Linked DNA regions of Oreochromis niloticus. The protein of the gene in region 2 purifies or fractionates together with the protein of the main gene of each other region. This does not show direct contact. Links are inferred from orthologs where the notes say so. Each region holds a gene or a part of one and is shown on either strand. Other genes may lie near its edges.

The links.
Region 1: the proteins of mcm4 (region 2) and ssrp1a purify together in Homo sapiens (affinity purification with mass spectrometry; 4 studies listed by BioGRID and IntAct, counting the BioPlex papers as one, with this or other methods). This does not show direct contact. The link is inferred for Oreochromis niloticus from reciprocal best matches to the Homo sapiens genes MCM4 and SSRP1.
Region 3: the proteins of mcm4 (region 2) and sf3a1 fractionate together in Homo sapiens (co-fractionation; 3 studies listed by BioGRID, with this or other methods). This does not show direct contact. The link is inferred for Oreochromis niloticus from reciprocal best matches to the Homo sapiens genes MCM4 and SF3A1.

What each region holds. Positions count from the first base shown.
Region 1 is NC_031966.2:22,487,849-22,491,598, reverse strand, and holds the start of ssrp1a (FACT complex subunit SSRP1a), read left to right. Parts: upstream 1-1,219; 5' UTR 1,220-1,372; intron 1,373-1,953; coding exon of another isoform or gene 1,954-2,011; exon of another isoform or gene 2,012-2,180; intron 2,181-2,186; 5' UTR 2,187-2,212; coding exon 2,213-2,266; intron 2,267-3,750. Other genes in the region: uncharacterized protein clcf1, read right to left, coding at 1,954-2,011. UniProt on the Homo sapiens protein: Component of the FACT complex, a general chromatin factor that acts to reorganize nucleosomes. The FACT complex is involved in multiple processes that require DNA as a template such as mRNA elongation, DNA replication and DNA repair.
Region 2 is NC_031982.2:18,517,261-18,521,010, forward strand, and holds the start of mcm4 (DNA replication licensing factor MCM4), read left to right. Parts: upstream 1-1,510; 5' UTR 1,511-1,617; intron 1,618-2,273; 5' UTR 2,274-2,278; coding exon 2,279-2,342; intron 2,343-2,437; coding exon 2,438-2,596; intron 2,597-2,681; coding exon 2,682-2,845; intron 2,846-2,928; coding exon 2,929-3,030; intron 3,031-3,122; coding exon 3,123-3,218; intron 3,219-3,397; coding exon 3,398-3,493; intron 3,494-3,750. UniProt on the Homo sapiens protein: Acts as a component of the MCM2-7 complex (MCM complex) which is the replicative helicase essential for 'once per cell cycle' DNA replication initiation and elongation in eukaryotic cells.
Region 3 is NC_031977.2:11,771,668-11,775,417, forward strand, and holds the start of sf3a1 (splicing factor 3A subunit 1), read left to right. Parts: upstream 1-841; 5' UTR 842-964; exon of another isoform or gene 965-983; intron 984-1,091; 5' UTR 1,092-1,122; coding exon 1,123-1,170; intron 1,171-1,842; coding exon 1,843-1,952; intron 1,953-2,042; coding exon 2,043-2,247; intron 2,248-2,348; coding exon 2,349-2,606; intron 2,607-2,704; coding exon 2,705-2,779; intron 2,780-2,871; coding exon 2,872-3,022; intron 3,023-3,120; coding exon 3,121-3,317; intron 3,318-3,511; coding exon 3,512-3,629; intron 3,630-3,716; coding exon 3,717-3,750. Other genes in the region: ccdc157 (coiled-coil domain-containing protein 157), read right to left, coding at 549-796. UniProt on the Homo sapiens protein: Component of the 17S U2 SnRNP complex of the spliceosome, a large ribonucleoprotein complex that removes introns from transcribed pre-mRNAs.

The DNA.
Region 1 (3,750 bases), on a different chromosome or scaffold from region 2:
CCTACTAATATTGCACAAAAATCTCAAATAAAATGAAATAACATAACAAAAAAAAAAAATCAAGGCTGTATTTTAATTAAACTGGGGCGCAAATATTAAAGGAAATATTTTGCGTCTATATTACGCCTGTTTTTTTTTCTTTCTGTTTCTTTGCGGGAGAATGAAGGCAAGTGTTTGCTTGCTTGCACCGCGCTTCTTTTCTTCTCCCTCCATTCCTCAGCTCTTAGTTTTTTATTGACAGTGAGATTATTCTGGATCTTCTTCTCTCACCTCCAGCTGTCACTCAGCTTGCCAGCCAGAACATCAGCCCGTGGCATGCAGCGCCGTGTCGCGCCCCGAAGCACCGCTGCTGATACTCTTATTTGTCCCGGATCCAAGTAAAATTCTTTCGTAATCGCTGAGATATTCCAAAATCCGTCAGGCCCACCGGTTCATGTGGTTGAATAAAGTAGTCTAGTTATACGGACTGACAGTGTATCCTCAAGGCTGGATTAAGGTGGAGGAGACGGAGGAGGGGGTCCTCAAGGACTTTGCCAAAAGCTTCGTCGGTTTGTTTCAGCCTCATGTGCTGATATAGGGAGATTGTGTGTGTGTGTGTGTGTGTGTGTGTGAATCGCTGTGAAAGCGCACTTTTGAACTCACCTCAAACGATAAGGGCCTTAAATGCGTCCTGCTTTAATTTAGGCCTGCTGAGTCCCTGTTTTGAAGGGGAAGAGGGTTCATTTATTTGGCCGATTTCTGTTTTGTTGTCTTATGTTGCATTTTCTTAAATTGTTTTAAAACGAAATAAAGGCCAAACTGTGCATTTTGCCTTAAGGTTTTCAATAAGGTTTGTTGGACCATGCGTACTAGCCTATTTGATCCGGGGCCTTCCTACCTCTGTCCATATGTCGTATTATAAGAGTCTAAATAACTATTTAGAATGATGCAATATTCCTATTTGACTCTTTTGTTGTAATTTATTAAAAATAAACCCCTCAGTATTGTTATAGTTTATGTTTAATACTATGTTATAAAACTTTTTGGCACTAAGTAAAGGCTGCCACACTAGCTTCATTAGATGTGCTCTGTGCCACCCAGTGGTGATGAGCAGTTACTGCAGCGCATTCTGTCCTGCGCACCTCCGTTACACAATGTTTTTATTTTATTTTTTAATTAACTTATTTTGTCCAAGTTTGACACAGACCTCAGCTTTCAAACCACTTCAGAATCCTTGTAATTTACTACCCACCAAACAGCTCAGTGATTCAAAGGAAGAGGGGGTAACGTCTGAAAACCGGAAGCAAATACGAGCCACCGTTTGAGTGTTTCCTGTGACTAGCTCCCGATGCTACACGCGGGAAAACAGGCGAAGCTGCTGAGCACTGTCACAGTAAGAACTGAAGTTTTTTTAAACTCTGCATTCTCACTTCTATAGAAATTCATTTTTTGATAAGTGTAAGCAACGAGGGGAGTGCGTGGCGCACAATTAATTACTTTGAGCTACGTCGTTTGTTACAATAACTCCAAATATTTACATGATTTCTTTTTACCGGCCTAGTGTGGATGGAGCGCTGGATTTTAACTTAGGACCAGCCCAAGCGGGCGGCGTTCTAAGCGTGTTCCGTATGCAATGTGAGGATTCAGTTGAAAACGGTCCCACATCGTTGTATAAAAGAAGCGGTCCCTGTGCAGTTGAAGTTAGCCTAGCTATTGTTAGTGGCGCAGCATGGATGATATTTAGGGGTTGCTTCGAGAAACACAAAGACCCAATTGTCACTGAAACATTCACGCCATAAGATAACGATATTCGTAAAATTTCGCCGGGCAGAGCTTTCTTTTAATTGTTCATAGTTAGCTGTTAGCTGGCTCAGAACTTCACTCAGTGCTTTAAACACTAATAAACGGAAATATTAAATAACACGAAAAGACCCCAATTCAACACAAAGCTACTTTTACAGTTTGCACACTCACAGGATGGCTGCTTTCTGCCTCTCGGGTGTTTTGGCTCAGTCGCTGCTTGCTTGTTCATGTTTTCATCAACACCACACTACTTTCCCACCGTGAGGAGCAACAACAAAATGCAGACCCCAGCATGCCACAATCTGGGAATGGTTTTAAAACCATGCGTGCCATAAGCCTCGTTGTAGATGTTTGGTTGTATTTAATGCCGTTTCCTCCGTCTCTGTCTGTCTGTCTGTCTGTAGAGCATCAGTTATCGCCTGTAGCCAAAATGGGAGACACACTGGAGTTCAACGAGATCTACCAGGAGGTTAAAGGCTCCTGGGTAAGTATCTTCACCAGCCAGCTCTACTCTCAAATTCTCTTTCAGGGCTTCATTGCACTGTGTTTTGAAGTGGCATGGCAGACAAACATCAGCTCCTGTGCTCTTATTTGCAAATAAGCTGATGGGTCAGAGCAAAATTATTTGCAGTTCTGATTTCTTTTTTGTTTGTTTGTTTGTTTTTGCCTATTTGTGTCACTCATATTTTTCAAATCTTCAAACAGGTGTTAATATTAGAGAAAGATAACCTGAGTAAGTTAAAAAAAAATGCAGTTTTTAAAATGAGGATTTCATTTATTAAGGGAAAAAAAGCTACCCAAACCTGCCTGGCCCTGGTCCAGTTGCCTCCTAAACCCAATAACTGGTTGTGCCACGCTTGGGAGCAATAACTGGCAGTTGTACATCGCTTTGGAGGAATTTTGCAGTATTGTTTTATCTGCCACATTGGAAGGTTTTCAGTCACAAATGCGCTGTTTTAGATCGTGTCAAAGCAATTGGCAATCTCAATTGGATGTAAGTCCAGATTTGATTAGGCCTTTGATCATTTCAAGGTAGATTTGCTGGTGTCTTTCTAATCACATTGCCTGAGCTGAAGGGCACCAACTACTGGATGAGCATTCTCCTTAAGGACTTTCTGGTAAAGAGTGAAATTCATGGATCCATCAATTACAGCAAGTTGTGCTGATGCAGCAAAGCAGCCCCAGTCAGACCTTCCAAAAAGGGTAGCTTTTGTTTGGTCAATCCACCGAGTATTTTCCTAAAAGTCTTGGGAGATCATCAAAATGTTTTTGGCGAACGTGAGATGAGCCTTCGTTTTCTTTTTGGCTAGCAGTGGTTTTCACCCTGTAATGCTCCCAAGGATGCCATTTTTGCCTCTTGTCTCTTGTTTTTTTTTATTGTTCAGTCATGAATTCTGACCTTAACTGAGCCAAGTGAGGCCTGCAGTTCTTTAGATGATGCTCTGGGTGTTCTTTTGTGACCTACTAGATGGGTCGTTGATGCACTTTTGGAGTAATTTTTATAGTCCGACCACACCTGGCAAGGTTCAACACTGTTCCAAATTTTCTCCGTTTGTAGATAATGGCTCTCACTGTGGTTCACTGGAGTTCCAAAGCCTTAAAAATGACTTCATAAGCCTTTCCAGACTTATAGATGTCAGTTTTGGATCTTTTAGCCAACTACGATTTGTCAGACAGGTTTTATTTAAGTGATTTCTTAAGTAAACAGGTCTGGCAGTAATCAGGCCTCAGTGTGGCATTGAACTCAGCTCTCCAAAAATGTCGTTAATCACAGTTGATTCATGATTTAAGATGTGCCATATATGTTTGGATATTTTAGTTTTTTGTTTGTTTGTTTTTCTTAATAATTGAAATCATCATTTTAAAAATTGCATTTTGTATTTCCTTGGGTTATGTTTTTTATCTTATGTTACAATTTGGTAATCTGAAACATGTGTGACAAAATACTAAGAAGTCAGGAACAGGGAA
Region 2 (3,750 bases):
TATTCTCGTAGAGTTTGAGGTGTTTCTGGGGTCGTTATTTTGCTGCATGTTGTGCAAACCAGAGGGTGGGGCATGTCTCTGAAGAATGGAGTTCTGCTTCTCCTTGGTCAGGGTGGAGCTGACTCAGTGCAGAGTACACCACCTGTTTCACTGTGAGTGAAGCAGATCAAAGCTACATGAATGCATCTGAATCTGTGCTTCATGGAGAGGATACAGGTGAAAGTGCTAACATGATCAAAGCCATAAACTTGCTTACCCAGCACAAAAAGTGCAGATGCTTTGTAGTTGTTAGCTTTATATGACATAACTTAATGTATTAAACTCATGTAAAATTATTCAAATTATTTTTAGGCTTTCTTCTTTTAGCTGCTCTCTTTAGGGGTCACCACAGTGAATCATCAGCCTCCATCTCACCCTGTCCCTAGCATCTTCCTCTGTCACGCCAAACCTCTGCATGTCCTCCTTCTCTACATCTGTAGTCAGAAGTTTGCATATGCTCATCATGGGCATTGATGTCATGGTGAATTTGGGGTTTTTAATGATTTCTGAGTTGTTCATTTTCCAGGGTCAAATGTATACATACAGACTCAGATATACTATACAGCCCTACTAATATTTGGTCAAATGTCAAGTTGCATCTCACCCAGATGCTTTTGGTAGCCATCAATGATTCTCCGTTGGTCAGCATTGTCTACTTATAGTCGATCATAATCAACAATGGGAAATTAATAGGCCCTTTCCTTGTTGAGTTAAAAGACACTGCAGAACCTTCAGTACCAGTTATAAAAAGATTTAAGTGAGTGCATGTGGAGCCATTAAAGATTTATGCTGTACAATCATTCAACACAGGGGAAAAAATCAGTTAAAGAAATCATTAAAAACCCCAAATCATCATGACAGTCATGGCCACAATGAGTGTACACAAACTTCTGTGCATTACTGTGAACACAAAAATGTGGGATGCGCTGGACCTCATCATACTGAGAGCTGTTTCTTCTCACCCACTGGCCTACATGAGTACCTCTGACTGTAGTGAAAACCAGTACAACCACCGCTGTAACATAACCGGGTGAACATACATCCTGCATGTAGACTAGGAAAAGAGGGTGAATAGTATTTCCCGGTTAGCTTCTGCTGTTGTATTAATTCAAATGCTACATCTTTACATCCGTAGCCTGTCACGGATTTGCTGTCATTTTGTATTTGGGAGGCGGTTTCACACTTGCGTGTTGTTTGGATTGTTACAATAAAGATTAGGGCAGGGGCAAAAAAAAAGTCCCTTACTGCTGGGCCAAACCAAATCGATTGAGGGTTTGAAGGAGCACATGAGCGCACAGGAAACGCAGATCTTATTTGACATATCAAAATTAAAAAATAAAAGTTCATTTATTTATTTATTTCCTATTTAATCCGTTTGTTTATTGAGTCTACAAGATGCTAAACTGAAGCCGGATAAGTAAACGCTGGACAAGAACCCCCCTTTTTCGGTGAAGGGATCGACCGGAAAGAAAAGAAAGACAATCCCAGCCTCTCATTGGCCCAAAGTTCCCCGCGAAAATAACGTCACCCGCAGTTTCGCGCCACATCTTCTCCGCTCGGACGTATACACAAGAAGGGGTAAGAAGAGACATGTATAATGATAGTTTTTAGGTTATTACGTCGGTAGTTTTGGTGGTTTCGTGAAAGCGTGATACGCGAATCAGGTTGACTTAAACGTGCACGAAGGTGTTTTGTTGTTTTACGCTGACGTTTAATGTTAATCGAAGTTAAAACATCGCAGTCGAGGATCAGCTTATTGTGTGCTCTGCAGCCACATGTCAAATGGAGGTCGAGGGTTTAATGCAGTTAGTGCTTTAGTGAAAATAAGACACTTCAAAACTTCTAAAAAAGACACGCAGTGTAGCATATCAGCGTGCCGGAAGTGTCATTTATATAGTTAAGTGAACTTTTCTTGCTGTTTGACTGATATCTGGAAGCGATTCAAGCACACACTCATAACATGGATCCAAGTATCCAAGTAGCGAAAAGCAGGCTGCCCACAGTTTATATCCATCTCATGTCATTTTCTCCACAAAGCTGAAAAAAGATCTAATAAAACAAAAAGGAAATAATTAAAGTTTTTCAGCCAGCCACATCTGTGAATGTCAGTTTTCCAAATGCTCAGTCAAACTTGAAGCCATCACCATCAGTGATGTCCCACAGCCAGAGCGACAGTATGTAACAAGTGTTATTACATTTCCTTCACTGAGTGTCACCTTTTGTTGATTTCCCAGCAGCAATGTCTTCTCCAGCTTCAACCCCTGGTGGCCGTAAGCGTGGAAGGAACACCAATCCACCCACACGTAAGTTCCCCACTTGCTCCAACCTTTTGCATATGGACCTCCTGTGATTGTATGATGACCGTTGCCTACTTTTCTTCGTGTCTGTGCGACTTTAGCCAGCAGCGAGGACCCCACCTCGCCTCCCTCTCAGCGCCGCAGAGGTCAGGACTCCTCCACCGGGGACCTGATGCCGATGCCCACCTCCCCAGCCACGGACGTGCTCAGTCCTGCAGCACCCCAGGACACGTCTCTGCTCTCCAGCCCCCGACCTTCGGGTATGACGTGTTTGAGTTGTTGTGGTCTTGTGGACTCAAATTTTGGATTCTTGGATTGTTTTATAAATCTGCCTCCTTTTAACAGTGCCCCCTAACGAGGTGGACATGAGCTCCCCCTTGATGTACGGGACCCCCAGCTCCAGGATTGAGGGAACCCCACGGAGCGGAGTGCGGGGCACACCAGCCAGGCAGCGTCCTGATCTGGGATCGGTCAGGAAGGCTCCCCAAGTCGATCTTCACTCTGAGCCGGTCAGTAATCTTGTGTTTGTCATGTATTGAGCTCACATGAAGCCCGAACCCTCAGAAGTTAACTATTCACTGTCTTCTCTCAGCCGAGCACAGATGGTGCCGTGGCCAGCGAGTCGAACGCCGGGCAGAGGCTGGTGATCTGGGGGACTGATGTGAATGTCGGCACCTGCAAGGAAAAGTTTCAGGTATTGAGCCGAGGCAGCTAAATCCCATAATAAATCTCATGTAGGCAGTCCATGAGTTAACATTGGCATGCTTTGCGTTCCGCTGCTTCCAGAGGTTTCTCCAGAGGTTTGTTGACCCGACCTCCACTGAAGATGAGAACGCTGGTCTGGACCTGAACGAGCCGTTATACATGCAGAAGCTGGAGGAGGTGCAATTTTTATTGTTTGTGTTGCTCCAAACGTGTTTAAGTCAGACTCGCACTGCATGATGGTGTTTCTGAATGATGAACAATAGCCAGGAAATTAGAGAATACAGGAGGAGGCGGTTGCGCGGGATTGTATTCAAAGACGTAATATCACACAACGTGCTTCTCTTCTCGTCCCACAGATCAGCGTCGTCGGCGATCCTGTGATGAACGTGAACTGCCGCCACGTGCAGTCCTTTGATGCAGATCTTTACAGACAGCTCATCTGCTACCCACAGGTAAAGCTCGCTTCATCTGCCATCATCTGTTTATTTTTTTTCTTTACCATTGTTTTCATTCCCTCATTCGGTGTATGTGTGAGTACGGATTAAACGGAGGATGAAAACTTGAGCCCTTGATGAGTGAAATGGCAGCCTTCTGATTTTTATAATGAAGTAATGCGATACAGCAATGTCTTGAATAAATTAATGAATAAATAAAAATAAAATAAGTGGATGCAAATGCAAAGGGAGAAGTGATGTACAATGTAACACAA
Region 3 (3,750 bases), on a different chromosome or scaffold from region 2:
GAAGGATCTCCAACGTGGGATAAAAACTGCACAGTACATCACAGGAGCAGCCTTCACATCACTACACGGCATTTGCACGACCAGGTTCGTCACAAGGGCTCACAACATTTTTAGAGACAATACACACCCACCACCTCTCCACACTTTTGCCCTCAGGTAGATTCTACAGGCGACTGAAATCAAGCACTAATACTCTCTCAAATAGCTTCTAGCTGTTGGCCATCGGACTCCTGAATGAGACAATCAGCACTGCCCCTCTCCCACACCATCACTACTGTTGGCTGTTACTGTACTATCAGTATCTGCTACTGCACTAATTTGTACAGGTCTGTTTGCAAACATCCACAAGGCATGGGCACAACAGGGAAACTGGCAAAATAAGAATTTCATTGTACAGTGTAAACCGCGATTTTCTTTCACTGTGCATATAATAAAAATAACAATATTAAAACATCTAACATTTTTATGTTTCTTAATTTTCTGTGTTAGGCACATTGAGTTTTCATGTAAATGTGCTATACAATAAAATTGTCATTGTTATGTATTACCTGTCAACCACCAACTCCAGTAAAACAATGTGGGAGTGCTGATTGAACGCATCTTCCCCATCCACAAAGTCATACTGCTCTAGCAGAGCTACCATGTCTAGATTACAGGAGTGCTTGTCCGGGAACTTCCAGGAAGAAAAGCGGAGCGGTCCGGTTCGAGAAAACACGTCCAGAATCGCTCCCTGAAGGTCAACCAGGTCTTTTCGGAGGCTTTCGATACAGTCCTGACTACCCAGCAACTGACTCATGTCTGACAAACTATTTTATAAATGACACAGCTCTGAAAAACACTGTGCAGTCTGTTGATACCGCATCTCCTTGGCAACATCCAAAAAAAGTACTCCAAGTTCCACAATGCTGTGCGGGTTATTTCCGGAAGTAATTCATCTCCATTGGGTCAACGAAAGCGCGACGTAGTAAGTGTGTTTAACCACGGTAAATTTTAAGCTTTTAGCTCCTGTAGCCTTTATTGTTGACATAGCATTTGCTAAAAAGGATTGTTTAAAATACATATTTTTTTTCTTGTTGGTTTTGTGTTTGCAGGTAACTTCCAGTTTTACAATAAGTCGCAGCCATGCCGCCTGGGCCTGTTCAAATCGTTCAGCCGGAGGCTAACAACAAGGTAAGGGTACCGCTGCTAGTTAGCTAATGCCAGCAGTGCAGCCTACATACTGCTTGCTTTTTTTCGGCTAACTTGTGAACTGGGTTAATTTTTGTCTTTCTACACTTTGAACTGTCTCTGTGATTTTTGAATTTAGCGAACAGGTAGCGTCTATCTTTTTTTTCTTTCGCTAAACGTTTGAGGTCGCAGCATTAAACCTTGCTAGCCCGTAGTTACCTTTGATGGTAAATCTACACACAGCGTCTAAAATCTCAGTTTGAACCTGAAGGTAATAGCTGAGACTTTGCTGTCACTTCAGTACAACGGCAAGTTACTTGCTAAATTGAAAACAGATCTTTGAATCAATGTGTTTTGTACAGAACCACACTTTTTCACGCAGAAAATTCACCGACCTACTTTCATCAGAGCACTTGGTAGTTTTTACCGTATATTTCATTAGTCTCCTGTGTGGACTAGTACAGCGAAATATAAAGTTTTTCAAAATGTTGTCTATGCTTTGAGTGTTATAAATTGTAGTAGAGCAGGGGAAATATTACTTGGTGTAGTTGGAAAAGATTTAAAATCGGGTGGATGTTAAGTGGTCCACTCTCTTTTTTGAACCTTATTCTTTTATTTATCCATCTAACCCTTCTTTGGTTTATTCTAACTAACAAATGTGCTTTTGTGAAACAGAATGATTCAACAGCAGAAGAAACCCCAGCCACAAAACCTATTGTTGGTATCATTTATCCACCTCCCGAGGTCCGAAACATTGTTGACAAGACAGCCAGCTTTGTTGCAAGGTTGGTTATTTTATATGTGGCAGCATTTTAAATATGTAAAGGTAACCGGATTTCATGTATATGGCATAACTAATTCTTGCCAATTCACAGGAACGGGCCTGAATTTGAAGCAAGAATTCGTCAGAACGAGATCAACAATCCAAAGTTTAACTTTCTCAACCCGAATGACCCCTACCATGCCTACTATCGCCACAAAGTCAATGAATTTAAGGAGGGGAAAGCTCAAGAGCCATCTGCAGCAGTGCCCAAAGTTATGCAGCAGGCTATGCAACAGTCCCAGCAGCTTCCTCAGAAAGTAAGTCATTGAACTTCACTTTGCACTTTATTTTATTTTTTTAATTACAAAATAAAACTGGTAGTCTTTGACCCTGACTAATATTTTACATTTTTCTTTAGGTTCAGTCACAGGTAATTCAGGAGACAGTGGTCCCCAAAGAACCTCCCCCCGAGTTTGAGTTCATTGCAGATCCTCCATCAATCTCAGCATTTGACCTGGATGTTGTGAAGCTCACTGCCCAGTTTGTTGCTCGCAATGGCCGCCAGTTTCTCACTCAGCTCATGCAGAAGGAACAGAGGAACTACCAGTTTGACTTTTTGCGACCACAGCACAGCCTTTTCAATTACTTCACCAAGCTGGTGGAGCAGTATACTAAGGTGACTTAACAGATTGGGCTTCTCTGGGTGTGTATTTATTCAAGTGGTGATTCTAAACTTTCTAAGCATTATCTTGATTCTTACCTTTAATCCTTTAGATTCTGATCCCTCCCAAAGGCTTACTGACCAAACTCAAGAAGGAAGCCGAGAACCCAAAAGAGGTTATGGACCAGGTATTCCGTTTTAACAGTGACTGCTTCTCAAAATAGCCGTTTACATTTGCTCTTTCCCATGTTTGTAATATGTCCTGTTGTCCAACCATCAGGTAAGGTACCGTGTTGAATGGGCAAAGTACCAGGAGCGCGAGAGGAAGAAGGAGGAGGAGGAAAGGGAGAAGGAACGAGTAGCATATGCCCAAATCGACTGGCATGACTTTGTAGTGGTCGAAACGGTGGACTTCCAACCTAATGAACAAGGTAATTATAACCACAGTAACTATATCTTTGAATAGTAACCCCCACCTTTAAATATTGGTACAATCATTTAATCTTTATTGGCATCTCAACTTCCTTAGGCCACTTCCCACCACCTACCACACCAGAGGAGCTCGGCGCTCGCATCCTGATCCAGGAGCGCTATGAGAAGTTTGGAGAGAGTGAGGAGGTTGAGATGGAAGTGGAGAGCGAGGGTGAAGATGATGAGCGGGAGGATAGGGGTGAAGGCCAGCCTTCACAGCCTGATCAAGACACACAAGTGCAGGACATGGATGAGGTTAGAATGGATGGAGTAATTAATTACTGCGGATTGTAAGCTGTTCGTGTCTGACCAGTTATAGATTTGATACTATATGTTTTTCTTTTAATTAAATGACATCTTTTCTAACCCACTGCTTGGAGAAAGAAAAAGAAGAAGAAAACTTTAAGATCTTGTAACAAAATCGATTCATCCCCTGCTGCTTTCTTTAGGGATCTGATGATGATGATGATGGCATGAAGGCTCCACTGCCACCAGACACCCCCATGCCACCTCCACTGCCTCCAACTCCAGATCAGGTTATCATTCGCAAAGACTACGACCCCAAAGGTAACACTGTTCGTTATGTGAGCAAGTTTTTACTTTGTACAACGTGTTTGTTTTTGTTTTTTAACTAATGTTACCTTTTCATAACAGCATCCAAGCCTCAGCCCTCAGTTGCAGTTCCAGA